Tamandua tetradactyla: one gene and its partners. The protein of the gene in region 1 purifies or fractionates together with the protein of each later gene. This does not show direct contact. Links are inferred from orthologs where the notes say so. Each region holds a gene or a part of one and is shown on either strand. Other genes may lie near its edges.

Region 1 (7,412 bases):
TCTAAGTTGTCTAGATTGTTAGCATATAGTTGTTCATAGTATTCTCTTATGATTTTTAAAAATTTCTTCAGGATCCATGGTCATGACAATCTCATTTCGGATTTTGTTTATTTGCATCCTCTCTCTTTCAAAGTCTAGCTCCGGGTATATAAATTTTGATTTCCTCAAAGAACCCACTTTTGGTTTTATTGATTCTTTCTATGGTTTTATTGTTCTCCTGTTTGTTTATTTCTGATTTAATCTTTGTTATTTCTCTTCTTTTATTTGCTTTGGGCTTAGTTTGCTGTTCTTTCTCTAATTTCTCCAGGTAAGCAGTTAAGTCTTCAATTTTTGCTCATTCCTGTTTTTTTTTAATTTTTTTTTTTACTGTATAGTATAACATATACACACGGCAAAGAAATGAAAAAAGGAATAGTTTTCAAAGCACTCTTTAACAAGTAGTTACAGGACAGATCCCAGAGTTTGTCATGGGCTACCATATGATCGTCTCATATTTTTCCTTCTAGCTGCCCCAGAATATAGGAGGCTACAGGGCTTAAATACTTTTTTTATCATCACAATCAACTTTTTTCCTTCTTTTTTTGTGAACAATAACATCCATACAAAAAAGCTACAAATTTCAAAGCACAGTACCACAATTAGTTGTACAACGTATTTCAGACTTTGACATGGGTTACAATTTCACAATTTTAGGTTTTTACTTCTAGCTGCTCTAAAATAGTGGAGACTAAAAGAGATATCAATTTAATAATTCAGCATTCATATTCATTCGTTAAATCCCATCTTCTCTGCATAACTCCACCATCACCTTTTATCTTTCCATCCCTCTCCTTAGGGGTGTTTGGGCTATGGCAATTCTAGATTTTTCATATTGGAAGGGTCTGTCACTAATATGGGGTAGGGAGATGGAACTATCTGATGTTCTGGAGAGGCTGGGCTAGGTTTCAGGACTTATCTGGACCAGGGACCCATCTGGAGGGTACAGGTTTCTGGAAAGTTACTCTAGTACATGGTACTCTTGTAGAATCTTATATATTGCCTTCAGGATTGGCTGGAATGGTCCTGGTTGGGGGTTGGCAGGTTATGATAGGTAGCAAGGTCTAACTGAAGCTTGCATAAGAGCAACCTCCAGAGTAGGCTCTTGCCTCTATTTGAACTCTCTCTGTCACTAATACTGTATTAATTGCACTTCTTTCTCCCCTTTTGGTCAGGATGGAATTGTTGATCCCATGGTGCCAGGTCTGGATTCATCCCTGGGAGTCATCTTCCACGTCGCCAAGGAGACTTTCAGCCCTGGATGTCATGTCCCACGTAAGGGGGAGGGCAATGATTTCACTTGCAGAGTTGGGCTTAGAGAGACTGAGGCCACATCTGAGTAACAACAGAGGTCCTCCAGAAGTAACTCTTAAGCATACCTTTAAGTAGGCTAAGCTTCTCTGCTACCTACATAAGCTTCATAACAGTAAGACTCAAGATCAAGGGCATGGACTATTGATTTAGATTTCCCTATGGTTTGACACAGTATCATGGGATTTCCTGATGGTAAAGTTTATTTATTTATTAAACACAACCACATACAAACACAAACATTCTTTCCACATGATCATTCCATTCTTGATATATAATCAATAACTCACAATATTATCACATAGTTGTATAATCATCATCATGATCATTTCTTAGGACATCTGCATCAATTCATAAAAAGAAATAAAAAGAAAACAGAAACAAAACTCATACATACTGATGGTAAAGTTTAATAGTTCTATATATTTTCTCCCATCCCTCAAGGGACTTTGCCAATACTTTTTGATTATCTGCTTAATATACTCTAGGATGTATCCAGATATTATATTAAGCTATACAGGATTAAAGGACCTCTTTCTTATTCTGGGCTTCCTGTGTTTCAGCTGTTTAAATGAGCTATACAGATAGGTTGAGTTAGATTATGTGCTACAGAAAATTTCGGTTTCAGACCCAATAAACTTTTCTTGCTTTCGTCTCAAAGAGTATGTGTAGTTCTAAAACATAGACACTGTCTTCCTTACCCTGTGTTCTGAATTACTTCAACACCAACCTGATTGGCTTCATTTTATCTCTAAATATCAGGATGTATATATATATATATATATATATATATATATGTATGTACATATAAAAACAGCCTCTCAAAATCCAGAAATAATAATTACCCTTCCAAACTAAATATGTCTGCTATAAAAGCTTACAATCTAGGCCTCTGTTTTCTTTTAAGCATTCTCTAAATAGACCATACCATTCTTGTTCTTTTGTTTCTGGTTTCTTTTGCCTCACCAAATATCCCACACGTTCATTCACATTGTTGCTTGCCTCATGACTTCATTCCTTTTTTGTAGTAGCACAACATTCGTTCATAAGTATACACCATCATTTGCCAATCTACTTCTCAGCAAGTGCATCCTTCAGCAACCTGCATTCATCAGGGACCAGGTATAGGGCCCAAAGTCCACAGTTCATTAATGCTCTCCATTTTAGATAATTTCATTGTTCCCAAGAGAAAGAAAACCAATAAACATATCCTCCCCAAATAGAAAATCTAAACCTCCTTTTAACTCTTGCTCCTCCCCCCATTATTTACCTCTGCTGTTGCTGTGGTAGTGCTGATGGTTTCCTTTTAAACACACTCCATAGCATGCACTAGCAGTTTTCCCCTGTACCCTGGATTTAAGCACTCTTTGTACAGGAATCATACCTTTGAAGTAATTCTTGCAAGAACTAATTTATATTTCTAATGTTAATCAGTGTTTTGGGGAAGGTTTTTGATGACTGGTTTCATCTTTTTTACTTGTTATTGGCCTGATGAGATCTATTTCTTCTTTTTTGGGGTTGGGTGGGTGGTTCATGGGACAGGAGCTGAACCTGGATCTTCTGCATGGCAGGTGAGAGTTCTACCACTGAACTACCCATGCACCCCTTTCTATTGTGTGTTCTAGGGATTTGTCCATTTTATCTAAGTTATCTAATTATTTGGCACGCAGTTGTTCATAGTATCCTCTTATAATCCTTTTTATTTCTGTGGGGTAGGTAGTAATGTCCCCTTTCTTATTTTAGTTATTTGTGTCCTTCTCTTCTTTTCTTTGTCAGTCTAAGTTCATCAATTTTATTGATCTTTTCAAAGAACCAACTTTTGAATTTGTTGATTCTATCGTTGTTTTTTTCCCATCTCATTTATCTCTGCACTAATCTTTTTTATTTCTGTCCTTCTTGCTTTGGATTTAGTTTGCTCTTTTTCTAGTTCCTCCAGTTGTGAGGTTAAGTGTGTGATTTGAAATCTTTCTTCTTTTTTAATGTAAGCATTTAGATTTATTAATTTCTCTCTCAATGCTATCTTTGCTACATCCCACGAGTTTTGATATGTTGTGTTTCCTCTGTGCTCTTTGTCATTATGATTTTGTACGTCCTTGTACTGCCCACTGGGGCCAGGCTTTACAGATCTTAAATCTGCATCAGCGCCCCTCTCCAGGACCTGCTTTCTAGCAGTTCACTGATGCCATTGCTGGCTTGATTACTTATGTAGATGGGGAATCTTCCAGAGAAGGGGCTTAAACTTTCATCCACAGTGCTGGGCGCTAGTAGCTGCTCAGTAAGTGCTTACTAGAACCCACGATAAAGTGCGAGTAAGTGAATGAATGGATTGACAAGGACATCTTGGCTCACAATAAGGAGTAGGAGGTGCTCACCTGGAATAGGCTCCTTCTTTCCTCTTACCAGCCCTAGTTCAGCCAGGAGTAATGGGGCTGGGGGTCTGAAGTGTGCGTGTGGGGGGTGCAGAAAGGGAGGGGAGAAGAGTTCCTGGTTGGAGCAGCCCACTTGTGGCTCAGCGACCAGCTGTGGTGCACAGCAAGGGAGAAGAGGGGCTGGCAAAAAAGGGGAGAGGCGCCTGTGGGGGGAGAACGCGGCGCCCTCCTGCCCGGCTCCTTACATTCTTTCACCCTGGGGTCTCCTGGAATGAAAGCAGTCTCCAGCAGCCCAGAGCGCGCGTGAACGGAGGCACCGGGACGGAGAAAGGAGCCTCCCCCCGACCTGGGCTGCGGAAACTGGCAGCGCGGGGGGTGTCCCGCCACGCGGGCGTCCAAAAGCCAGAGCAGAGGGACAGCCCTGCCCTTGGAGCTGGTGCTGCCACAGGGTGGCCTCCCCTTCTGCGCCTTCCCACCCCAACATGCGGCCACAGACCGCTTTGGGATCGGAATTTCGAATCCTTTCTTCCATCTTTCCCCTCTTTCCTCCGGGTCTTGGTATGCCCCAGGGGACAGATGTCTTGGGATCTTTAACATTTGGGATGCTGCAAATGCCGAAGTTAAATGAAATACCTCCGGGGAGGGAAGGTCGGGGAGAAACTCGGGGAGAGGGACGATGGCCTGGACAAACAAGTCTTGAAGCTGCGAGGCGGGAACGGGGGGCGCGGGGGCAAGCGGGCGGCGCCAGAGCTCCATGGGACAGGTAAGGGGGAAAACTTAGGGGTGGCCAAAGGGGGTGAATTGGAGGACCCAAGCCCCTGAACTCACCATCTTCGGTCTTAGTGAAGGGGGTCCGACAGGGAATGGGGTGATTTTCCCAAGGAAATGAGAATTCAGAGTTCCTCTCGAAAATGCGTATTTCCAAACCCTCAACCTTTCCTTCTTCAGCTTTCCCCGTGCCTGTGGATCCTCTGGCCAGGTTCCGGGAAGCCAAAAAGCAGCCAAACAAAAGGAGCGAAGTCTGGGGCCGGCCTGGATGTGGAGGGCGCGATGGGGGAGGGGAGGAGGGTGGACAGGACAAAGGGGCTTTTTAAAGAAAGCCTTAGAGGTCTGATTTCAGGATGCATTCCAGACTAGCATGGAATTCCCCTGTCCCAGCCCACTCCACCATCGCTTGGTGGAGGCAAGCACCTTTCCCCGTGGGCAAAGAGTGGAGAAAGCGAGCAAGTTAAAGAACCGTTCCGCTCCCTGATCCCATTGCCTGGAGATCCTGGGCCATTTCCCTACTTTCTTTTTCTACTCATAACTCTGGAAGTGTAACCATTGATTCATTAATTCATTAAGTAAAATTTTAAGAGTATCAGAGATGCTATCGGGAATGTGGTAATGGTAGGAAGGGCACTTGCTTTGAAGAACTTCCAATCTAGTGTATCAGAAGAAGCTTAGAGAAGGAAGGAGAGAGAGAGGATGGCTACAGGGCTGTGGGAGAGTTTTCTGATTCAGAACTTTTCCTTGGGAAATGAAAACCCTAAAGAGAAGTAGTTTTTCCTCTTTCTGGGGGAGGACTCTAATCTCCAAAGTTCAGAGTCCAAGAATATAATGTTGTACAAGGAAACCCCACTTCCTCATCGGCTGGTCCTGGTGCTGATGGTCTGGGGCTTGGGGCTGGAGGGTTCCTCCTCTTATCCTTAGACTGGGTGGCAGTGGGGCTCTAAGCCGCAACCCCCCAGCTGGACCCCTCAGCCACGTGCCCCGCTCATGGTATTTGGGGTTGGATGACTAGGGTCGTCCGCTAGATCCCGGGGTCCTTGGTGAGAGGGTTGAGGTCCCTGGCCCATTCCAAACATCTTATTTTGCTGGATTGGGAAATACTGGGTGTGAATTTGGAGGAATGAGGGTGTCATTCAAAATTCCAGAAGATCAGTGCAAACAGATTGAACATCTGTACTTCTCTCCCCTGAGCTCAGAGATAGGGGATCACTTAAGACTGGTTCTTGGTCCTGAAATGGGTTGATAGCACCAAAGATATCTATGGCTAGGATTCAGAGTTAGGAGGAAAATGTCTTTTGTTTCTCACCTGTAACTAGAAATTTAGTATTGCCTCCCGTCATAAAGGCACCAAACTGCAGTAGCATTAGCAGTACCTGTGACTTTGCCACTGATAGAAATCGCAGGTATTTTTCATATGACATCACACTTGCCGCAGATTATCTCGAAATATTGTTTACAGTGATCGTGTCTATGAAATTGTTATTAGTAGAGCCGCTGCTAGACCCTTTTTAATGTTAATAAAGAAGCATATGTTACTATGTTCTATTTCTAGAACTGTATTTCAAAGTAATTGGTTCTCTTAGTGATTCTCTATAACTTTCATTTTATGCTTTGAAAAATATGCTATGCACTGACTCTAGAAACTTCCATCATCCGTCCCCCTCCCCACCTGTAGCTGGGGGATGGGCAAGGTGTGGAAAAGAAGTCTACCCTTCTCTGTCTGACCTTGGAAGCCTATGAAGGGAGGGGGGGACTGTTGTGCTGTGGAGCGCAGGGGGAAGGGAAGGGCTGCTGGCTTTTGGGGACACCCTGGACCTGTTCCCTGCCGCCAGGAAGGGCCTCTCGTCCATTAGGGCCCTTTGGCCTCAGCCTGGGGCTGAGGGAGGAGGTGGTCAATGTCGAGAACCCTGGGACTAACACTGTTTGAAAAGAGGGTGTGTGCAGGAATGCGGAGGTGTTCAGGGGGCAGGGGTGGAGTGGGGAGTGGGAGGTGCTGGCCGAGGGGAGGGGCAGGTCAGAGCTGTGTCTGTGACACCGAATTCTGCACCGACGGAGATGCTCTGTGGGAGCAGACGTCATCATCCCCCACTGGGGGTTGGGGAATGGGGGTGGGGATCTTTAGGGGCTGGGGGAGGGGAAGCCATCCAGGATTTGTTGTAGTGGGGGGTGGGAGGATTGGGGGGTTGGGGGAAGGGAGATGGTGAGATGAAGTCCTGGGGGGTGGGGCACAGTCCTTAGTCCCAAGCATCTTTGTGTTTTCAGCCTCCTGGGGTCAGGCAACTGGCCACCTCGCCCCGCTTCCTTCTGTGAAGTAGGCTGGATTCCAATTTTGGGTTTGCTCAAGGGTCGAGGGAAGGGGGAGTCTGGGGGCTTATGTTTTTATAGGGAACAAGTTCCATTTCTGCCTGTGGCCCCATATGTGTGGGGGGGGAGGTGGTTCAGAGCCTGGGATTGCTGTTCAGAGCCTACTGTTGCATAAGGGTCAAGACTGAGGTTCGGATTAGCGCCCCATAAACTGTGCCGGGGAGTGGATGTACCCAATCAACGGGGAAATGATGGTCTTGTTATCCGGAATGAAAATCGAGAACAAGCTGGCTCTCTCTAGGCCCCTAGGGCCTCCTCGCGGGTTTGCTCCTTGCCTGAGGTTTCTGTATTCCCATTTCAAGCCTTGTTCCCCATTTCAGGGTATGGGGAAGAGTGATGATTTGACCCTGTTAGTTTGGAAATTCCTTGCTGGCATTCCCATGGATAAGTGAACCTTCACGCTGCTTCTGGGGGGAGGTACATGCCTCAATTTCTGGAAAGAGAAACTGAGGTCCAAGGAGGGCGGTGAACATCCGAGGCAGGGAGAGCCAGGGGCAGGCGAGAGGGCACCTGGGCACCTCACAGCTCAGCGTCGGTGTAGACATGACCCCTCTGTCTCCT
Region 2 (8,290 bases), on another chromosome or scaffold:
TCCTTTTCTACAAAAATTAATCTACAGCATTTCCCAATTACTTTTGATAAGTGGCAAACAATAAGTCATTCACAGAAAGACAGATGTCCACACCAAATAAACATACCAAAAGTTACCAGACATTACTGGTAATCAGAAGTATAGATATTAAAATACTATTTTTTACCTCTTTTAGTTGGCAAATATTTTAAATGGTAATACTTGCTGGATGAAACCGTGGTGAGGCCACCATTTTGAAACACAGCTGGTGAAACAAATTATCACTTTAGAAATCTATTTCATAGCATGTATAATGAGCCTTAAAAGAGTTTACTTATTTTGACTCATAAATACCCTTCTGGGAGTTAATCAGGAAGTCATCAGAGACGGGCACAGAGGCCAAGGCCCATGGATGCTGCAGCATCAGAGATGATATGGCGACAGATAAATGTCCACAGCCATTAAAATACTGATCTGTCCAATTCTGATCCAACATGTTTGGTTTCTTTGTAGCTTCCCCCTGTCCATATTTCCCTTTTCTGACAGGAATAAACTTGGTTCCCATTTTTTTCAGGCTTGGTGCCCTCTAGTTACACTTCCTTCCCTGTGGATTCCACCTGCAGCCTCCTTTGCCCGTTGGATTGAGCAGGAGTAGAGAGAGGGTGGAAGGAGAGAGAGGGCAAGGTGTCTTCTCTCTAGCTCCTCCCTACCAGGTCGCTGAGGGTCCGTAGAACCCAAAGCTCCAGCCAGGCGACCTGCATTCAGCTGCCCTCTGCCAAGGAGCCGGAGACCTTGGAGACCTTGGCCTGTGCCAGCCTGGGAAGCCTCCTCGCTGCTCACTGGTTTCCGTCCCTCTTGTTGACAGTCCTTTCTTACAGCCTGTCCAGTTCCCATGCTGAGTGTACCTTTGTCCCTTGAGATTATGAATAACAGCAGGTATCCCACTAAAGAGAATCTTTCCCTGAAACATTACATAAATATTTATGTAAATTTTCTTCTAAAGTAAGATCAAGCCATTAAATATTTGAATATTCTTACCTTACCATCACCAGATGGGGTGAAGCTCAGTAAAGGATTAAGGCAATTTGAGGCATTAATTGAAAATGTAAAATGATATTTTATGTCTTGAGTCCAAACACCTGCATCAGAATTCCCTGATTCATGATTTTTAGCCTGAACAGATATAGTGTTTTCTTCTACTTTGTTGTTTTAGTGATGATTATGGGGTCCAGCCAGCCCTCACTCTACTGTCTCATTTAGCCAAACCCCATTCTTTCTCAGGCCTGCATCTGTATCATCATTCTCTTCTGTAATGCTCCATTGTTCTTCCAAATGGTTGTTGAATTTTCTGTACTTTACATTTGAATAAGTACACTGACCTTCCTCTCACAGTCTTGGTATGATAGTTTGTTGCATTTTAGGGGCAGGGCAGGGCAGCGGAATGCCTCAGTTGGCCCAGGATGGCCCCGGGTCCTACCCACTGTCTGAGGAGTTACTACCAGCACCAGCTGCAGACATGAAAATGTCCCTGTGTGGATAGTAAAGTATGTAGCCATTCTCTTTATGAGTGAGTTGATTATATAATTGGGCATGTCAGTAGTTAAATTTCTTCATTAAGGAATTTGAAACATGTATTTTCATTCATTGCTTCATTTTTTAACAATGTTATTTGTTGCGCTAGATTTAGCAAATGCCATGTGATATCGGGCCAGGTATGCCCTACCATGCTGTCAGCTTCGGGGCGGCTGCCTGACCCCCACACCCAGAAGCGGCACAAACCTGTTCTGAAGGCATGGGAAGCTAAGAGCATGGCAGCTCCATTCTTCTTGCCCAGGCCAGAGGGCTTGGAGTCATCCTGGATTTCTTTCTTTCGCACTCTTCATGGAAATCTACCAGCAAGTCTTTGGCTCTTCCACAAGCATAAATACAGCCAGAGCCTAGGCAGTCATTGTCGAAGCTCCCTTGGCACAGCTGTCAGGGCCTCCCAGCTGGGCTCCTGGCTCTAGCCCTTACTCCCCCACCATTTGCTCTTATCCACCAGTGAGCACAGTGTTGTTACAGAGGAGGGCAAGGCACTGCACTTTCCTTGGAAGCCTGGCACTGGCTCCTCATCTCACCTGGGGTAGGCATTTGATTCCTGGAAATGGCCTCTCAGGCCTTGTTCAGGCCTCCCCACTCTGGCCTTACCCCTGCTCCAGCTCCTGGCCTCCTTGCTGTTCCCAGAGAGGTCTGTCCTGACAGTGCCCCTGGCCCTAGTGCTGCGGTGTTTACCACCTGACATACTGCACATTGACTAATTTGCTTGCCTGCTTCACCCGTCTCCCTATAGAGTATAAATGCCACGAGGGTAGGTATTTTTATGTTTACTTCTCTGGTGCAGCACCCATGCCTGGTAGTTACTGCTGAATAAAAATGTGTTTGAGGGCCATGGTGGCTCAGCAGGTAGAGTTCTGGCCTGCCATGCTGGGGACCCAGGTTCGATTCCCAGTGCTTGCCCATGTAAAAAAATAATAATAATAATAAAATAAATAAATTCCCCTTTAAAAAAAAACAACTGAGGGGGGACTCTCTGCGTGGGACATGACTCCCAGGGGTGTGGACCTTCCTGGCAACATGGGACAGAGATCCTGGAATGAGTTGAGACTCAGCATCAAGGGACTGAGAAAAACCCTAGAATGAGCTAAGAATTAACATCAAGGGATTGAGATAAACTTCTCGACCAAAAGGGGGAAGAGTAAAATGAGACAGTGTCAATGGCTGAGAGATTCCAGAGTCGAGAGGTTATCCTGGAGGTTATTCTTACGCATTAAGTAGATATCACCTTGTTGTTCAAGATGTAGTGGAGAGGCTGGAGGGAATTGCCTGAAAATGTAGTGCTGAATTCCAGTAGCCATGTTTCTTGATGATGATCGAACAATGATATAGCTTTCACAATGAGACTCTGTGAATGTGAAAACCTTATGTCTGATGCTCCCTCTAGCTACTATATCAACAGAAGAGTAGAACATATGGAATAAAAATAAATAATAGGGGGAACAAATGTTAAAATAAATTCAGTTTGAAATAGTGGTAAATGAAAGCAAGGGGTAAGGGGTATGGTATGTATAGTCTTTTTTCCTCTATTATCATTTTATTTCTTTTTCTGTTGTCTTTTTATTTCTTTTTCTAAATCGATGCAAATGTACTAAGAAATGATGAATATGCAACTATGTGATGATACTAAGAATTACTGATTGTATATGTAGAATGGAATGATACCTAAATGTTTTGTTTGTTAATTTTTTTAATTAATAAAAAAAGTTAAAAAAAATGTGTTTGAGTGAAAAGAATTGAAGTTTAAGATTCTAGATTTGATTATAACAAGATAGAAACTTCTGTATAACAAAAGATACCACAACTAAAGTTAATATTAAGTAACAGATTGTGATAAAATAATTGCAACATCTAATACAGAGGATTAGTAATCTACAAGTTGATAAGAAAAAAAGACAGTTGATAGAAGAATGAGCAAAGGATGTGGACAGGCAGTTCACAGGAGAGGGAATACACAAATTTACGGCAAGATCACCTGCATCACTGCTAATCAGATGGTAAATGCAAACTGGAAACAATAAGAAGACATCATTTTCCACATATCAGACTGGCAGGAATTAAGTTTGATGCTGCCTGAGCTTGGGAAGCTGTAGGAAAATGGCAGGTGCTTTGGCAGTGTCCACTAAAGCTGGACTTGTCTAGATGTGATGACCTAGCCATTTTGCCTTTGGGTGTCAGCTCCAGAGAAATACTCTCCCATTTGACAGCAGGTAGAGTGTAGAAATGACCTGTCTTCTTGAAAGTTAGGATCATCCTCAGAGAATCAGACCTGGCACCAGAAGATGGGAAGTGCTGATTTGGGAATCATTAAACTCTTAGGTTTTGAAATGGACTGATACTGGGATTCCTTGTGGATGGAGGTCAGAAAGGAGAAGATTTAACTGTTTTTTTGACGTTCTAAGTCAAAGGGTAAAAGGCTGAATTTGTTAGTTGACTCTACAGAAAAAGTATTTAAAAATATATATATGTTTATATTTATTTAACTATTATTAGGCAAGACAGAAAAGGGTGGGATGAGTCTCTGCCCCGTGATGCATCAGCACCTGTGGTCGCCTTCAAATTATGATTGGTGACTCTCCATCTTGCTGTTAGCCTGTGTGTTTCCAGCTCTTTAACAAGTACCAGGGCAAAGGACAGCAGGTTCAGGCTCCCCACCAAAGAGTACAGGCACCTGCGATGCCAACCAAGGCCTAGTGGAGGGGGGTGTTGGCGGACCAGAAGTGAGCATCATGCAGCTGGTCAGTTCTACAGCCAGCAGCCTTCTTTGGACTTTGGCTGAGCCATATAACTTTTGGGATTTCAGTGTCCTTGTCCGTGAATGGACATGAAGACAACACTTGCCTCGCAGAGGTGCATTCAGGAGTAGGTGGGTTAGGCCATGTCAGACTGGGTTCAAAGGAACCCCTCGTAAACAGGACCTCTAATGCAGAGGCATTAGGCACACTTGTTCTCCTTTTATTTGCCACTTGCGAGTATGAATATCTAAGTGAAGAACCAGAATATCATGGAAACTATATCTGTATCCAGCAACTCTACTCCTAAGAATTTTTGTTAAGAAAATAAAGAGATTTTTTGTGCACATGGGTGTTTATTGCAGTGCTGAGAGTGGCAGTAAAATTGGAAACTACTTAAAAGTCTTAAATTAAGGGATTGCCTATTATGTTTATATGGTAAAATACTAAAAGCATGGTTGATGTTCAGTTAGTTGTGGAAAATGTTAGTAAAAATGGTGTTATAAACAGCATGTAGAGTATCTCATTTTTGTTGCAAACAATATATATACAGAGTGAGAACACACACAAATGAAAGTGAACAAGTCTGGGAGGCTGACTCCCCATATGTCATCATCAGTTATCTCTGGATGGTGGGATTGTGTTTTCTTATTATAATGCTTTCTCAATTTTCAATAGTGAACATGTATCATATAATAAGGGTGTGCTGAAAAGATTTTGGGGTAGCACATTAGAAAACAGAATGGTGTTAAAACCGAGTTTATATTGAGAATTTTGCCCTTGAATATTTTTTTTCTCTCTAAAACCTGCCTTCTGCTTTTATTTATTTATTTATTTATTTATCTATTTTACATGGGCAGGCACTGGGAAACGAATCCAGGTCTCCAGCACGGAGGAGAGAACTCTACCACTGAGCCACCGTGGCCCGCCCTGCCTTCTGCTTTTAGCCTGTGACCTCATAACGTGCTGTAATGATTAAGATTTCTTAGTCATTCTCTTAGGAAATGAGCTATCATCCCATGAGACAATCAGGGATTTCAAAGTCCGTTCTGAGAAAGTACTGGAAAGGGGAGAGGAAAGCTGCAGTCGGTGCTGCCGGTGCCACCACTGTAGACGAGCCGAATCTGAGGAAGGCGGGGAAGGGCAGCCTGCCTCCCGCTAAGACCGCCTTGGGAGGGAGGTGGCCCCTGGGCGGGAAGGTGCTCAGCCTGTCTTCAGGAACTGGGTGGTGACCAGGGACTGGGCGGGACGCTCCCTGTGAGCTGGAGGCCGATTGGTCCAGGAGAGCAGCCAGCGATTCCCCTTCAGTTCAGGAAGCAGCACCGAGGTGTCTGGTGGCCAGATAGCCCCACGGGCGCCTCTGGAACCCCTTGACCAACCCTCACGGGAAACTTTGCTCTGACTTGCAGTTCTCCTCTGAAGGACAAGCCTCGTGGGCCTGTAGGGTGCTGCTGTGACAGAGCAAGATGGTTCTTAAAACCCAAGAGGAGGAGGGTAAGGCCAGGTCGCAGCGGGCTGGGATGGAGGCGGCCTCGGGTGTAGGCAGTGTGCTTTCTCTCTGACTCGTGCGTGGAACTAGACCGACAGTTTTACGGGGCCTTTTAGGGGAGGAGCTAAAGACTGATCCACACTCTGGTTTTTATCGTGCTGTTTTCAGGAGAAAGACTGGATAATGAGTTAGTGGTTAGTGAGTTAGTGTGTGTTGGTCCTAGTGCTGGTGGTGGGGAGTGGGTAAAGTAACTGTGTTTTTAAACCAAAGGAAGCTTTTTGTTCCGCTCCACCCCCCAGTCTTTGTCGTTGTTGGGGTCTGGTGACTTCCTGGTGACTTCCTTCTTGGTGACTGTGCCTGTCCTGGGCAGGCCTGGGCTGAATCTGAGTGACAGTCAGAACCCCTGAGAGCTCCAAGAACACCCAGGGGTGAGTCAGTGCTCAAAGGTAGATGTGATAGACCGGCACCAGTGAGGTTCAGGATCAATCATACTCATTTTTAATTTTTTTATTAAATAAAGTGTGATGAAGGGAAAATGCATAGTTTGATTTTCCTCTTTGGTTAAGACTGTTTGAAGCCTTATGGAGTTGATGGACTTCCCCCACATTCTTCACACGCACTCCATAAAAAGTGAGGCTCTGAACAATGGGACCGTAAATCCCATTTATGGGATTTTTTTTTTTGCACAGGCAGGCGCTGGGAAGTGAACCCAGGTCTCCGGCATGGCAGGTGAGAAGTCTGCCTGATGAGCTACCGTGGCCTGCCCCATTTATGGGATTCTAAGTCCCAAAAAACTCTTAAGAAGAACTGTGTCTGACAGCATCCTAGGTTAGGGCTTTCAAACTTTCTGAAGCCATAGGAGTTTTGTGTGTGGATTTGTGTGCATTCTCTTGTGATGCTTTCATCACGTGGTGGTATTTCAAGGCTGTAAGTCAAAACAGCAAGATGATCTTAGCTAGTAAAGAATAATGTGAATCACATTTGAAATAAATCTTAGTAAATATTAGGCTGCATTTTGAAGTGGGTTTTATTAAAATTATAATAAATTTTGGTGGTTCTCTTTATGCTTTTCCTTATCTAATTCACTGTAAGTCATGTATTTTGGAGTTTCATGAACTCTGTGCAGATTGTCTTGGAGAATATCCATGGGGCAGCTTGGAAACTGTATCATCTATGAAAGACTTTGGGAGAGAGGGACATATAGGTGCCTGTCATGCTTTTGCACTTGAAGAGGGGGCAGTAACGAGAGACAATTCTGGGTAAGAGTTGAACTGCCCACTTGGGAGTTTTTGGGTCTGAAAGGTGGGACCACACTTGCTGTCTGCAGCTCAGGGGGATTTGGGAGTGGAAGGGGACACAGTGTGTACTAGGACAGAGCCTCTGGCCACTGTACTGCGACTCTTTCTTACGCAGACCCACCGAGTCCAGGCTGAGAGCCACTGCGGGGTCTAAGCCAGAGGGGTTTGGCCCCAGTTATCCCAGAGGCTGTAAAATCCAAGATGATCTGCCCTCATGTGCGTGCTGGGTTAAATGGTGGCAGTGCTGATTTTTGGGCCAGGAATTTTAGAGATCGGAAATAGGAGTAACAAGCAATTTTGCTCTGAATAAGTCACCTTAAAGAGTTGGTGGTTCTCTCTTTCTGTTCCTCATCCAGGAATTATCCCTCCATGTTGGCTGTTTGGAACAGTGCAGAGGGCAGAACTGCCTTGTTAACCACTGCCCACATAGGTACCTCAGGTGTGATGAGATGTAGAAACGGTAGTTGGGTAGCTGTTAAAGTCAGAGGAACAGTTGGAGTTTGCACTGGCAGTTCCCCAAGATCCCAGGGGAGGAGGGAAGTTAAGCGTCAGCATTATGCTTCCAACAAAGCTGCTTTTACTAGTTTTAGTACCTGAAGAACATGCCTCATTAAGGATCACTGGGGACGTGAAAATCTTCTTGACTGTGGTCAGATCCTTTCCTGCTGTACTAATCTCAGATCCACAGCCTATACAATAAAAGTGTTGCTTTTGCCCCCATCCCCCTTTCCTGGCACCTATGGCGGTCACCTTATATTCCAGTATCATGTATGTATAAGTGGGAGTTAACCAGTGTGAGTAATTTGGCACTGTTTCTATAACTGACGTTAAGTGGTTTGTTTACGATTTTGTTTCATCTTTTTAATGTTTAGTCCCCCTTAATTTGCCTTTGAGCCCTCTCTTGGGAAGAGGGATTTAGGCTCTGTGATGTGGGACAAGAGGCCCTTCGCAAGCAGCTGCCAAGCTCTGTTTCTGGTGCCCACCCAGTTCTGGGTGCACCTGGGCCCTCGTCACCTGATTACTTACTGGCCCCCAACCCTTGTTTGGTGTTTGCCATCCTCTCTGCTTGGAATCTGTTTGGGGCTCCATTCATCCTTCCTGGTCGGCACCACTGTCCTTCCTGCAAATGCGTGTTCACATACTTTCCTTCCTACAAGTCCTCATGTTCCGTGCTGAGAAGGGACTGGATCTATTTAAAT
Region 3 (7,401 bases), on another chromosome or scaffold:
TCTGGGCGTTTGAAAATCGAATGAGCTCTGACCCGAGGCTTGGACCTCTGCTATTTGTCTGGGTGGAGTGGAGACTGCCAATCTGCACAAGCTCATCTCCACTCTGATGAGATGCTTTCTTTCCTAGATGAAATTAGATTTCGGAAAATATGACGTTCCTTTCGTGACCGTGAGCTGAGAGCAAGCAGGCGGCTCTGTGTGCCTTCCCCCGAGTGGACCAGACCTCTGAGCAGATGTGACAGATTAGCTGAGGTTCCCATCTGCTGAAGGTCACTGCCGTGTCTGCATTGCTTGACCGTTATCGAAGGAGACAGGAACTGCTCTGTGCACGGTCTGGGAGCAGCCGTAGCTCATGCAGCCCGGACGGCCTCTTTCTGGCCAAGCACAAGGAAACTGGCCTTGGCAGGGTTTTGCCTATGGTGGCCCTTAGTCCTGGGAGAGGAGACTTCTGTACGATTTCACGGACGTCCGCTTGAATGAGGGAGATGAACGTGCAAACGAGAAGTCTTTTTCACCTTTCTCAGAATGTGCACATTGAAGGTTTCTTAAACTATTTCTGCAACAGTCAGAGGGCTGATAAATGGGTTTCAACATGCTTTCAAAAGGTCTCTCACTTTTGATTGCCTTGTTAGTCCAGCAGCTGCCACTAACACTGTTGTTTCTCCCTTTTCTGACCTGGGTAGTCCCTGCAGTGGGTGGCAGAGACAAATTAAACACAGGCCACAGTCTCTGTCTTCCCCAAGGAGCTGCAAAAGTGCAAAGCTGAAACACACGGAACAGGCAATACTCGGAACAGGCAATACTGTGAGAAAGTCTTGTGGGTAAGGTAGGGTAGGGTATCAAAAATTACAATGAAACAATTATTTGTGAATTATTTGCTTAATGACTGGTGCTTCTGGGCCTGGCCATAAGTCTCATGAGGGTATGGAATGATCTGTCTTTTTATTGTCATATTCCCAGCACCTAGGACAGTGCCTGGGATATAGAAATGACCTAAATATTTATTGTCTGATTGAAGGGTCCCAATGAGGTTTGAGGTTCAATACTTGTTATCTTGGAGAGATGTCTGTTGCATAAATTGTTTCCCTTAAAGATTCACTTATAAAGAGTTCAACCTCCGAGTAAACCACTCATAAGCCAGACATAAAGTGATGGCCTAATCTTAGCGGACAAATCAGGATTCTTAGTGTTCCTATGTGTGGGGCAGCGTGCATGTAAGCAGATTGGATTTGTGCTGGGATTTGAGAGAGACCAGGAAGCACCTTTCCTTAAAAAAAAAAATCTCATTTTCCCATTAGATATTATTTTCTTTGGTTGTGCAGGGTCTAAAGTCTTCTAAGTGCCCCTCCCTGTAGTTAGATGTATAAATGACACCCTAAGACTTTATTCCCCCTACATTTTTACAGGCTTTATTGAAATGGGGCCCAGATTTAACTAAAGGGATAATATAATATTCTACTTACAAATAAATGGGCTATGCCTTATTTTGATACCAATTAGATTAGATGGAGAGGGCGACATTATTTACAGGGACTTAGTAAGATCAAGGCAAAGGCCTGGGCTTCTCTGGGTCCAAGGACATGGTAGCTGAGAGGCACTTTTGGCAGAAAAGGGCAGCTGCTTGTAGCTTAGGGAGGAGTGAGCTAAATCCTGTGTTCTTAAATCTTGAACTTTAATTTAAATCAGAATTTTCTGCATCTGTTTCTTTTCCTTTAAATTTACTGTATTGAGGGAATGAACATATATATATATGTAACATAAAATTTGCCATTTTAACCTTTTTTTTTACCAACATTTGCATTTTTTCGAAAATTTGTTACAATCGATGGTCACAGTTTTTTGCAATTACTATTTTTAAACTTTTTTATTGTATGGTATAACATATATACAAAGCAAAGAAATAAAAAAGTAAGTTTTCAAAGCACTCTTCAACAAGTGGTTAAGAGTGGTTAAGAGCCACAGTTCATCACGGGCTACCATATGGTCCTCTCATATTTTTCCTTCTAGCTGCTCCAGAATATAGGAGGCTAGAGGGCTTAAATATTTTTTTATCATCACAGTCGACTTTTTTTCCTTTTTTTTTTGTGAAAAATAACATGTATATGAAAAAGGTATAAATTTCAAAGCACAGCACCACAATTAGTTGTAGAACATATTTCAGACTTTGACATGGATTACTATTTTAGCCATTTTTAAGTTGTATACTCCAATGGCAATATATTTACAATGTTATGCAACCATTGCCATCATCCATTACCAAAACATTTTCATCACCCCAAAGAGAAACTCCGCACCTATTAAGGAATGACTCTCTGCTGCCCTCCATCTCCCTGGCCCAGGTCAATTATTTATATTTCCATTGCTATGAATTTGCGCTTTCTGGATATTTCATACAAGTGAAGTCATACAATATTTGTCCTTCTGTGTCTGGCTCATTTCACTCAAAACAATGTCTTCAAGGTTCACCCCTTGTATAGCAGTATCAGAACTTCATTCCTTTTATGGACGATTGTGCCTGTTTCTTGAGCCAATTATTAACTTTTTACAGTGGTCATGGTTGGATGAATTCTTTCCAGAAAGGAGACAAGACCAAAAAGGGAATCTTTAGGTATCTTCATTGATGCTGTGTTCTGGAGGTCAAGAAACGTTTGTTTGCTTGGAAGTGTTTGGCATAACTGTCAAGAATTCCACAATTGGAATGGAATAATTCAAACTCTGTGAGAAGCATCTATGGATCACACGCCAAGGGACCTAAGGAATTAGGGACTGACATTGACAAGCATTTATAATTGACAGTACTTTTGAGTTCAAAACTCCACATATCACCCTATCATATTATCCAGTTCAAAATATGCTGTCATTTCCCCCCGGTCACTGTGTAGTTATCTCTAAGATAAAGCTGACAGGAACAAGATCAGGAAGCCAAGTTTGTGGGCTGAGTCTTGAACCTAAGTCTTTTGACTCCCTTTTCTGTTACACATTTGTCACATAAACTGCCAAATATCTTATCTGCACCCAGAAGTGTCCCCGAGGGCTTTAGAAATGGAATGCACGTGCTTAATTCTTGAAATTTTCGGGAAATTCAACTCTAACTTCTGGAATCATCCCAGGATCTCCAGCAAACGGTCCATTTTAATAGACGACAGTGGAAAAGGGATCCTTGGATTCAATGAGTCATTTGTGAGGATAAACAGTTACAGGAAAATTTTATTAGGTAGACTCCATCTCCTCCATTACAGTGTTTGCTTTTCTTTAATGCAATTAAGCTCATGCAAAATGAACAGAAAGGCCTGGGTGGGGCCCACACCCAATGCTGCGGGGGAGCAGGGGCAGTAATTAGGAACGTGAAAGATGTGGAGCAGAGACAAGCTGCGGTCTTCTTCCTAGGAGACCAGTGCTTAGGACCCTGGCTGTGCCCCCGGGGGGAAAGTGAATTGAGAGCTCTCTCTCTCATCTCTGTGCGTCTGCATCATAAATCCAGGGCAGCTGGCAGCTTTTCAAGGCAGACTAGAGCTAAACTCCAAGGGCATCTGAGGCTGAACTGGCCAACCTCGTACAGTGCCCGCGCAGGGCTGGGCACAGGTGTGCCCGCTCGGGTTCCCACCTAGCGACAGCGTTCATTCACAAGCCTTACACGCTGTTCATGTGAAAGTGTACGCTGATCCCCAGGAAGGGAGAAGAGGCTCCATTACGCATCAGAGAGCCGAAAAGGCTGCGATGATCCTGAAGGCCGGGGAGACCTAAACTCTCCTGGGCCGCAGGTCGAGGGTCTGACTTGCGAGCACTTGCCTCACCTGGTCTTTTTCCCCGCCTGCACGTGCAAAGAGGACGCCCCCCCCCCCCCCCCGGCCACGGGGATTTGCAGAATGGGGCATTGCTGCGTCTCGGACCCCACATCTGTGCGTAGGTCGCCTAAGGCGGGGAGGCGCGTCTCGATGCCTGGTTCGCCCTGGAGGACCCCCACAAGCCAGAGCGGAGGCGAAGGCGCCCGGGCGGCGGGCCCACGCGGACTGGGCTGCGGGCTCGGGCGGGTTCCCGGGGGCGGGGCCGCGCCGTCTGCAGCCCCGCCCACCGCACCCGGGGGCGGGCCCCTCGGCGTCACGTGACGGCGGTGGCGGCGGCGGCGGGCGGCGCCGAGCGCGAGCGCCCAGCCCGGCCCGAGGAGGCTCCGGGCCGCGACCCCGCAGCCTTCTACGCGCGCTCCGGACCGGCGGTTCCCCCCCTCCGCCATCTGCACCGCGCGCCCCGCCGGCCCGGGGCTCGCCGGCTGCGGGAGTCACGTCAGGATGGATGAAGACGGCGGCGGCGAGGGCGGCGGCGGTGAGTGCCGGAGGTGTGGCCCGCCCGGCCGGCGGCCTGGGGCTGAGGGTCTGGGACGGGCCCGGCGGCGGCGGCGGCGGCTGGGGTCCGGGGTCGGCCTGAGGAAACAGGGCCGGGGGCAGCGCGGGGCCGGCTGGAGACCGCCCGAGGCCCGCGACGCGCCGGGCCCGGAGCCCGAGCCGGGGGGTGGGGGGCGCCGGGGAGGAGCCGGCTGGTGTCGCCGCCGAACCCGAGCGGGGGTCCCGGTGCGGGGCCGCCGGGGAGGCTCGGGCCGGGGCTGCCGGGTGGCTGTTTTGGGGCGCGGGGCCCCCGGCGCGCGACCTTCCCCGCATCCCCTCGCCAAGGGCGTCCACGCCCTCCGGAGCACCCCCCTTTCTGCCTCATTTCTCGGGGAGGCCGGAGGGGGACCGAGTCCACGGGGAACGGGCAGGAGGAAAGTTTCCAGTTGGGGACCCTCCCTGGGAAAAGAGGGGAGGGGGCTAGAGGACTACAAGGAATGACAGTTTTCTTGGCTTTGGGGTCAGACGCGGCCGCTGGAATTGCTTGAGGAGGGGGCAGCGAGGGGACAGGTCTGGACAGGCGTTTTGTGAAACCGTGACCGGTACCGAGTCGGCAATAGAAGGAGTCGCCTGGGCTGGGGGTCGGAGTGACGAGCCGCGGCGGGCAGCCGAGGGCGGGACCCGGGAAGCCTTTTCGGGCGCCTCGGGCGGGGAGGAGAGCGTCCCCGAAGCGGGTCGGGTTGGGGTGGGCACGGCCATGGGGTCTGCGTCCGAGGCTCACGGGCCTGGTGCTGGAAGGCTCTCATGTGTTTGAGATTATCTCGGTGGAATGCAACGCTCAGTCGTGTCGGGGCACGGGCTGCTGCGAATTGCGAGTCTGCGCAGGGGGTGGGTTCTTGTTTTGGCAGGCAAAGGGTTAATGTTCCTTTTATTTTATTTTTATTTTTTTCCGGAACACCCGGAGTTGCGATCCTCTATACTTTTGCTAAAGAGTACCTTTTTTTTTTTTTTTTTAATTTAACTGGCTGACCGAAGTTATCCGAACTCCTTGTAATAAGGAGGCGTTTTGAAAAATCCTAATTACAGGCTGCTCAGCGGTTGCCTGTAAGAATCAGCTGCATCGGATGCTTCGGGATGAAGTGGTTTAATCAAGGTGCCTTCTAGAACTTGAGTGCTCCCGGGAGGGAATTGGTTTTTTTTTTTTTTTGCAGAAAGAAGCAGTGCGGCGGCGGTGGTGGGAAGTTGGCACGAGTGGTGGCATTTGGAGAGTTGGGTTCTCCGCGTGAAAGCGAGGGCCGGCTCTGTGACACCAAGTGGGTGTGTTGTTTATGAAAGAAAGTGTTGTGGAAAGAAGGAGCCCCGTTGCAAAGCCTCCTCCAGCCAGGCTGGCTGCCTGAAGACAGGATCCGGAGCGAAGGATTCCCTGTGGGTGCAGTCTGCCTGTCACAATGTGAATAACCCCGCAGGCAGAGCAGGTTTTCCTTCTCAGAAAGTAGACAGAACGACCGTGATGTTTAAACCTTTGACATTTTCGAGTCCGGGAAGCTGGCTTGGCGATTTTGTTTGCAATTTGCTTTGGACTCTGAGTAAAGAAATGTTGAAGAATTAATTTAGCATTTTTTGAAATACTTAGCTTTAAAATTTGTGTTTTTAAAATAAAGTTCAGCCCTTTGAAAGATAATTTCAGTTATCAGTCAACTGTCAGACAATTGTGATTGTAAAAGACAACATTTTTTGCATATTTTTAGAGTACGATACACAACCTAGAACAGTATTGGGGGTGTCAGTTTCAGCTTTGTTTAAAAAAATAATCTAGTCAAATAGCTGTTATTGCAGAGGCCAAAGACAATTTAAAAGGTCTTTGTGAACGTGTTGGTCAGATTTAAAAGACTCCAAAATTTGATTCCTGCTTACTGCTTTTATAATTTAATTTTTGCCCAGGATGTATTTATTATATGTTCTTTCAATGCAAGATAAGGAGAGAGGATGGTGATATGAATGGTTGGAGTGCAGTTATAAGGAGGAACAAGTGGGGGCTGCGAGATTACAGGAACGCATTGTTAAGTATAACGTGTGCAGAGCATAGTTAAGGCATTTTTAGTTCCTTTGGGACTCGCCTTTCAGTTTTAACAGAACAATTCTTGAGATATGTCTCTACTAGGAAGGTGACTGGCTGGTTTGGCAAGGAGCCACCATCTTAATGACCAGTTTTGGAATATGCTTGAAGTTCCTAATGGACCATCCAGGGCAGGTGCTGTTAAATGACCTTGCTGCCTCCCACCTCATTAATGTAGATAAGAGTCAAGTTTGTGCCTCACTTGAAAAGATGTTCAGCTTCCCTCATTATGAGATAAATATAAATTAAAGCTGTATTGAGTCCCGCCTTTCACCTATCAGGCAGTGCCCCCCTTCCCCCTGGTCTGCAAACTGCCCGCTTGCGAGGCAGTCTCGTTGCTGGTGGAGGTGTAAGTTTGTTTCAGCTTTTTGTGGAAGCAGCTTTGGCCTCTATCCTTTTGGCCTTCAGGTCGTGCCTTGCCCTTCTCCCAGGAGGAGGGTAGGCTGCATTTCCCGGACCTGGGGTAGCTGGCTTCGGCCGAGTCTGGCCGGAGGGAGCCCCCTGAGAGGTTGGGTGGCAGGAGGAAGGGAGAGGCTGGGTTATTTTTCGTGTCCCCTCCTTCAGCCTCAGACAGCGGCTCTGGCAGGTGCCTTGCTTCTTTCCTGGCTCCAGCTCCCACTACCAGGTCCTCTGTGTTTCCATTTCTGCCCAGCGACCCTAACCCCCAACCTTGGAAATCTCCTCCCCTTTACAGGTGGTAGCAGCGTCTTGCTATTGCTAATCTCTGGGTTGTCTGTCTCACCATTTCCTCTTTGACTTCTCAGCTTTTCCATCACCCAGGTAACCAATTCCTTGTTTTAAACTTCCTTAATTTCAGGTACTTACAGTGACTTCTGTTTCTCTGGTTGACCCCTGAAAGATACAAAAGAGGGCACTTGTCAGTATCTTTTAAAGTCACAAGTGCATAAGTCTTTTGACCCAGCAATACTCGTTTTGGGAATTTAATCTGCAATTATGTATGTTCAT
Region 4 (7,535 bases), on another chromosome or scaffold:
ATTATCCCACATACTGAATTAATTACAGGTTATGTTTCTTTTTTTTAATTTAAGTTGAAATTTTAAAATAGTAATAAAATATTAAAATGCAGTACAAAGTTGAAGGGTAAAAATCATAAGACAACATAACAGCTTTTACAGCAAACCAAATCCAATAAAAAACGCTAATTTTGAAAGGTAGTGTAACATGAATTTTTCTCAAAAGGTGAACTGTAGTCTAAATCGAAAATAGAATTCATTAACTGAAGAAAAATGAACTTGATAAGCTTCTATTATGTGGCAATTTTATTTTTAACAAATTACAGAGTTGGTCATACTACAAAACATTACTGAATACCAAGAAATAATTTAAAATATGGTCACTATTAAGTAGGAGAGAAAAGAATTCCAACGATTCCTATCTTTATGAAAAGCCCACATTAGGGCAGTTTTCCCTATACCAGTAATTTACTTTATAAAATTTCTATTTTAGTAGGATTACCACCTTAACATCACGAGGAAAAGGACAAGATTAATACAACTGAACTATTAATGAACTTTATCCTCACAACTCAAACAGCACACAGAGAAAAGCTTTCCATACTTTTTCACAGGGTAGGAGGACTAGGGGTACAGACCTCAGGAGGAGGCAAATCAGAGCCTTGTAATATTTGGCTCTGCCTTCATTTAGCAGTTTGGCTTGGTTGGAAAAGTCAGGTAAATTTTCAAGTTTCAGTTTCTTCCTCTGACAAAAGTACTTAGACTCTCCAGTTTTAAAACACAAAAATTTCTACAATATCTATGAAGTTAGAAAGAACCAAAAGCATGGTTTCATTTTTTTTTAATATGATGGCAGAAAATTACAAAATGGTTGTATAATTTGCTATTCATTGTGTAATATTTCCAGAGGTGTATTCCTAAATCTTTGAAGCAGACCCAGCTTGGATTATATCAGTGGAGAGATCTAGAAATTGTATTCAGAATATAACTCCTACAATGTCATTTTTCTTCCACTTGCTTCTTTCCTCATCCTACTTCATTCTCTCTTCTGCTTGCTGTAACTACAAATGCCAGCGAGTGCTTACAGTAAACACTGTAAGTGTAAGAATCAGATCATTTAAAAATTTTCAATCATCTGCTTTATCAAATTCCTCCCAATTTAGTTGAGTTTTCATTACAAGAATTAAACTATGAGTAACCACTTCAGAAATTAAAATATACAAGGGTTATTTTTTGTTTTGATTTGATTGCTTTTAGAAAACAAAACGACGTAAAGATCTATTCTAATGCCTTCCCTTAAGAATACGAACGCATTACCCACCCAATGAAAAAACAATTCTGCTGGTTCATTTCCCTGCCACACAAAAGCTTCATTGTCAGGGCCTTCCTAGCCCAGTCTTCATCGTTGTCTAGCAATCTTACACACTGACCACCTTTACAGGGCTTGGTTCCACTAAGCACAGACCCTGTCTTCCAGAAGCTTACAGTCTTCAAATAAATAAATAACACTCTACTGTACACCAGAAACAGATTACGTGACTGAGAATACAAATCCCAAATCTTCCCGCCCTGTTTTAGGCAACTGGTAATCTTTTTTTTTTCCTTTGCATAAAATGAAGAAAACCATACCAGAGGCCTACATTCGAATGTTAGGACAATGAAGGCGACAGGAAGCCCCTCTCTCCGCCCCAGGGTTTACCACGGGGCCAGAACCTACGCGGAGTGCAGTCGCCTGCCAGGGTGCGTGACACCACGTCTTCCATGCCCGTCAACCGCGTCCAACCTCGCACCACCTCCCCCAGTCGCCTCACTCCCCAAAACCAATAAAAAGGATCGGCACTGTTAGCCGCTCAGATGAGGGGCGCGGGCTGGGAAAAACCCCTTCTCCGGAGGCAGCGTGGCCATTCCCTCCGATCCTCCTCCGCTCGCGCCCCTCGCACACTGCTAAGGCGGCGGGGGGGTGTGTGGGGGGAAGGTTGCACAAAGCCCGAGAGGGAGCTGAAAACGATTCTATACATCTAGGGAAAGAGTCAGAGGAAAAGAGGCTGGGCAAGGCCAGGTTGGCTACTGGACTGGAGGGACAGGAGATGGGGAACCACGCGAGCTCGGGTGGGGGATGGGACGGGCGGCCCCGCCGAGCCCCAGGGTGGGGGTGGCGGCGGCGGCGGCCGCGGCGCCGCGCGGAGATTCCGGGAAGCGACCCCCTCGCTTCCCGGCCTCGCAACCCGAGTCCCCGCCGCAAACCCAAGGCTCTCCAGGAAAAGGATGTGTAAAAGCAGCGGCAGTAGCTGTACCAGCAACGCCTAACCCAAGCAGCCGACAGCATCACTTACCCCTCACCGCTGGGAGAGGGACCGGACGGGGGAGGCGGGGCGCGTCGCGTCCCGTGAGTCTCTAAGCACGCCGTCCTCCCCCCACCCCCTCGTCGTCGTCGTCGTCGTCGTCGCTGTCGTCGTCGATGCTGCCGCTGCAGTTTAACTCCGGGCCCCTCAGCTCCTCTGGGCAATAACGTTATTCTACACACGCCTCACACATAGCGGTAACGGCAAAGAGCGGCAGCCTAGTGCGCAGGCGCCACGGGAAAGGGCGCAGGGCCGGGCCCTGTTCCCTCCGCCTGCTCTGGCCCAACAGTTTAGTTCTGCGCAAGCGCGAAAATGAGACAATGAAAAGGCGTTGAACTGAGGGTCTCACCCACACGCTTTTGCTGCTGCCCACTGCGCAGGCGTGGTATAAAGAGCGGCTTGAACAATAAAGAGGACCCTATCAGTAGCTTGGACCGCAACCAACAAGGACTACAGCTCCCTGCGGGCAGTGCGCCAACTCCAAGAGGAGGCCGGGTCGCTGGGCATGCTAGGATTTGTAGTATCGGCCGCCTTCACAACATAGGCTGGTCGGTAGGTCTAGAGTTTCTTTTCCTTAAGAATTTATGTGGTCGTTATTACAACGTTGCGGTCAAAACAGAATCCCGAGCTTTTCACTTGCGTACTGAGAAGCCTCAGGGGTCAACTGCATAGTATAACATTTCGAACAGTCGAGGCCTTCAGGGGGCTCTTTCCGTCAGTTAAGTGGTCCAAGCAGCGGAAGGATGAGATGAAAGCGGGACTAAACCAGGCTGGGCAGGAGGAAACGGGCGGAGCCTCTGAGGTGTCTCTTGGCAACGGACTATTGCAGCCAAACTGCCGAAGTTTGAGCTCCGAGCGCGGTGCCCTCTGGGAATTGTAGTGTCTGTGGAGGAGCTCTCAGGTGCCTCGAAGTTTCAGGTCGAGAGCCTGGGGACTGCAACTCCCGAAGTCCACCGTAAGGGCCATTGGGTGGGAAGAGCCTCCAGGAGCTCCATACTGGGTTCCACGCTCCACAGTGACAGCCGCGGCAGGAAGAGGGCGGGTGCTCTCTAGGCGCTAGGCCTGTTGTTCTCTGGACACTTCCCCACGTAGTTCCCATCTCTGGGCCTTCGGTCCGTGCATGGCCGTGTCCCCGGGGAACTCTGCCCTGGAGGAGATTTTGGGGCACTATCAACGGAGTCTCCGGGGTGAGTTGCTCCGAATCTCTGCTCCTAGCCCCTTGGTACCCAGGGCCTCGTGGATGACCAGGTGCGTTTTTCCTAACACCTCTGTTCGGCCCCAGCCAGGCTGCAGAAGAAGAAGATGGATGTTGCCGTGATCCTTGAGGAAGGATGAAAGAGTTTTGTTTTGTTTTTACATTTAAGCAGCGTTGTTTCCTTGATTCCCGTTAGTAACCTCAACAAACTGCCTGATCTTGAGTTGACCATTTTTCTTAACCAATGCCCACAGAAACTGTTGGAAAGTTTTATGCCACTCTTGCCCAATTCTCATACTTTGCTTTTTAATCCTGTGCTTTCCTGATTCACATTTTTTACACATTCAAATTCCGATATAGTGGACTGAAAGTGATTTATTTGCCGGGATGGAGTGGGGAAACACATAATTGTTTTAATCACAGAACCTTCTATTTAGTTGTCTAGGTTTTTGAAGAACACGAGTGCATTTAAAACTTGCAACAACCTACTGATTACCCCTATTTTACACTTGGGAAATCGAGATTCAGGTTTTATATGCAAAAGGCCACACGGGTGATTAGTAGCAGAACCAGATATTGAATACGTGTGAATCTGCTTTCAAAACCTACATTAATAAGTGTATTAATCCTATCACAGTTACTATAACTGAAACTTTATTCACTTGTTAGGTCAATATCTTGTTAGTGAGTATCTATGGAAGTGATGGTTGTATTTGTGTCAGATGGTTCTGTCATCTTGTACAACTTACATAAACTCTAGAAAACTCAGTTGTGTAATTTTGACATAGAAGTTAGAGTACTGTATACAGGGTCATTGTAAGGAGCAAATGAAACCCACGTCAAAAAGTCCTTTTTAACATTTTTCTTTTTATCATAACCCATAGTAAGAAATATATTTCATATGGAATATATGCATAAATAACTAGAACAATAGCTCACTGAAGAAAAATTATTCTACTACATATAATCACCCTATTTTCTGTTGTTCATTTTTGTAGTTCTCTATGTCGTGAACCACAGTTTGCTGAAAGCTAATTGAAAGCATTAAGAACATTAACTCAATTATGCAGCAAATACTAATTCAGTGCCTACTATGTGTTAGGTGTGCTAGGTGCTGGAGATTTAATAAGGAACAACACAAGCAAGGACAATGTTCCTATGTAGTTTCTAGATCAGTGAAAGAGAAAGGCAATAAGTAAAATACTTACACATTACTATGATGGGATCAACGTGGTACATAAGAAGCATTCATTAAATGTCAGCTGCTGTTTATACTTTGTATTGGCAACAAAGTAAAGATTTTTTTAGGAGATTGGAATGATTATCTTCTACTGACTCTAGACTTTTTAAGGGTTATTTGCTCTTTATATCTGTCAACAGTTTTACAACTGTCAACTTTCTTAATATTCAAACTACGGAAGTAAAAGAATTCATCTTAATGAATACCTTCACTACTGATATTTCAAGAGGTATTAGATACAGAAATAAACCACTTAAAACTTTTCATTTGAAAGCAGGAAAAATACTGTTTGTAATGATAATATGTGTGGTTTTTGTTTAATTTTTGAGGCTGCTGAAAATTTTTGTTCTCCATTATAAGTTTCTCCCTTTGAACCTTAATGTCAGCTTTGGAAACAATTTAATATTAGGCATTTTGATATGGTAAAGGGGTTAATTATAAGCTAATGTTGTATTAATGTGTTTAATACCAGTGATACTGCTTACAGAATAGTTTTCATTCACAGAGAATAAATTTTAAAGTCATTGGGCGGGCCACGGTGGCTCAGCAGGCAGGAATGCTTGCCTGTGATGCCAGAGGACCCGGGTTCGATTCCCGGTGCCTGTCCATGTTAAAAAAAAAAAAAAATTTAAAGTCATTTAATTTAGTGTGATAACTATGATAAGGTATTGAAAAATTTTAATTAAGGTCAAACATAAAAAAGAGAGTAAAGTTAAAGCATTTTTGAAATGTTTTGAGCATAGTTTCAACAACGAGTCAAAAGTGGAACCTGATACTTTTTGTGGGTTTTCCGGTCTTATTTTATTATTTCGTTGCTTTTTAATGTATGTTAGCTTATATAAAAACTTTGAGAGAGTGACAAAATAGAACTAATACTGAACTTAAGCACAATCAGAAGTTCTTCACTTCACAAATATGAATCAATACTTTAGAATAGATTAATTCCCTTTAAAGTAGAAATTTGTATCCCTGAATTAACAAAGTGTGGTAGAGTTATTGTATATGAATTATTTTAGTGCTTATGCCTAATAATTTGAGAACTGTATCCATCTAGATCAGATTAAATGCAATTTAAAGTTATTTGGTCTTGATTTTTATTTTCCTTTTTGTTGATTCATTTGGATTTTGTATATCCACCATTACTCCCTGAAGATACTTTGCCTAGTTCATGCTTAAAGGAAGAGTAATAAACATTCTTGGTCTTTCGTCACAAATTATTCCTCTGGTTACAAAGAACTGTAACATGTAAGCATTACTAATACCTATTTATTTATATTCACCCAGGAAGTTGCCATATAAAAATTCAAAATACTTTCACAGTTTTAAGTGATTGTCCCTCCATTTTCTAATTTCCTCATTTCTTTACTTTAAAAAATTTTGATTCTGCTATAGTAAATTAAGAATTTAAAGCTCTGATGTGAAAAACAAAGTTCACTTTCTTGCTTTAAAACTTGGAGTGGAATTTTTGCCTCTCTTCCACTCTGATGATCTTGGAGCAGCCACAAAAATAGTATGCTCAGCTCTAGACCCTACAGTCACCTCTCATCCTTTCTCTACACTTCACTTTTCAGATATATTCATTGTATTTTGTGCTCTCAAAAGATATCTCCTGCTTTGGGTTGCCTATGCACCATCTGCAAGAAATTGGAGAGGCATAATGATGCTTCTTTAAAATAAGAATTATGGCAGAAACACTGGAAGACGTGATTGCCCCACAGATCTGCAATATTATTCCTACATAGTAGGTAATCTGAAAGTTTCCAGTGTGGTCAAAAGTGGGCATATCGGGGTACAAGGATAGTTCAGTGGTAGAATTCTCGCCTGCCAACTGCGAGACCATGGTTCCATTCCCAGTTCATGCACTTCCCAGGAAACAAACAAGCAAAACAAACAAACAAACAAAAATTCAATATAAAAAATCAGTATATGGTGCTGCAATAATGGGAGCATACAAAAAAAACCCCATAAACATGACTCACCTCTTCACCTAGTTTCTAGTCACCTTTGGTTTGGTAGACATAAAGAAAAATGAAACTACTTGCAATATGAAAGGACCACATACTTTTTTTATATATACATTTTTTAAGTTGAGACTCTCTTTTCTTTCAACATTTTGGTGACTAGATTGACTTTGTGGGAAGAGCATGTTTAGAGTTAGGATGGGGGAGGGGGTGTGGGAGAGAATGTGGAACTAAGCCACATAAGCCTTTCTGTTGCTTTGCTGATAACCATCTGTGTGTTCATAGGCAAGGTCTTGGATTTGTATTTCCTTAAATGTGGAGATATGATATTAGATAGAAGGAGAGAACTTGCTAGTTCAAATTTGGACTAAATGTGGGAATTAATGCTTTAGGAGCCAAGCAGAAGATAAAGTGTATGTTGGAATCAGTGGAAGACAGTGGGAAATGGTGAGGCTTCTGTCTAAACTGGGAGTGTATGCTTTTCCCAAAAATATTCCAGTTTCTTTCTTTTTCCTTCCTTCTTCCATCCTTGCCTTTTTTCTCTTCTCCTCTCCCTTCTATGCTCTACTGGCCAAACAAAACACATCTGAATGCTAGGTTCAGCCTTGTGCACCACTCTCTGACACCTGGATCGCTAATGTCGCTTCCATCAACACTAGGTTGAGCCATGTGGATGATAAAGGCTGTGTTTCTACCTTATGAAAATGTGATTAAAGTGTCAAACTAGGTACATGGAAAGTGGGGGGGGGGGTGAATATGGGAAGAAAATATGTAATTTAGGAGATGATGCTTTGTAAGTCAATATAGTTTGAGAAAAT

Evidence for each region.
Region 2: the proteins of INAVA (region 1) and CYTH1 purify together in Homo sapiens (co-immunoprecipitation; 3 studies listed by BioGRID and IntAct, counting the BioPlex papers as one, with this or other methods). This does not show direct contact. The link is inferred for Tamandua tetradactyla from reciprocal best matches to the Homo sapiens genes INAVA and CYTH1.
Region 3: the proteins of INAVA (region 1) and CYTH3 purify together in Homo sapiens (co-immunoprecipitation; 3 studies listed by BioGRID and IntAct, counting the BioPlex papers as one, with this or other methods). This does not show direct contact. The link is inferred for Tamandua tetradactyla from reciprocal best matches to the Homo sapiens genes INAVA and CYTH3.
Region 4: the proteins of INAVA (region 1) and CEP170 purify together in Homo sapiens (co-immunoprecipitation; 3 studies listed by BioGRID and IntAct, counting the BioPlex papers as one, with this or other methods). This does not show direct contact. The link is inferred for Tamandua tetradactyla from reciprocal best matches to the Homo sapiens genes INAVA and CEP170.

The regions. Positions count from the first base shown.
Region 1 is NC_135330.1:57,985,892-57,993,303, forward strand, and holds the start of INAVA (innate immunity activator protein), read left to right. Parts: upstream 1-4,303; 5' UTR 4,304-4,318; coding exon 4,319-4,479; intron 4,480-7,412. UniProt on the Homo sapiens protein: Expressed in peripheral macrophages and intestinal myeloid-derived cells, is required for optimal PRR (pattern recognition receptor)-induced signaling, cytokine secretion, and bacterial clearance.
Region 2 is NC_135332.1:71,097,780-71,106,069, reverse strand, and holds the start of CYTH1 (cytohesin-1), read left to right. Parts: upstream 1-5,151; 5' UTR 5,152-5,770; coding exon 5,771-5,798; intron 5,799-8,290. UniProt on the Homo sapiens protein: Promotes guanine-nucleotide exchange on ARF1, ARF5 and ARF6. Promotes the activation of ARF factors through replacement of GDP with GTP.
Region 3 is NC_135349.1:5,669,975-5,677,375, forward strand, and holds the start of CYTH3 (cytohesin-3), read left to right. Parts: upstream 1-4,152; 5' UTR 4,153-4,286; coding exon of another isoform or gene 4,287-4,290; coding exon 4,291-4,333; intron 4,334-5,296; exon of another isoform or gene 5,297-5,901; intron 5,902-7,177; exon of another isoform or gene 7,178-7,287; intron 7,288-7,401. UniProt on the Homo sapiens protein: Promotes guanine-nucleotide exchange on ARF1 and ARF6. Promotes the activation of ARF factors through replacement of GDP with GTP. Plays a role in the epithelial polarization.
Region 4 is NC_135333.1:14,520,033-14,527,567, forward strand, and holds the start of CEP170 (centrosomal protein of 170 kDa), read right to left. Parts: upstream 3,151-7,535; 5' UTR 2,313-3,150; exon of another isoform or gene 2,174-2,312; intron 1-2,173. Other genes in the region: SDCCAG8 (serologically defined colon cancer antigen 8), read left to right, coding at 3,442-3,508.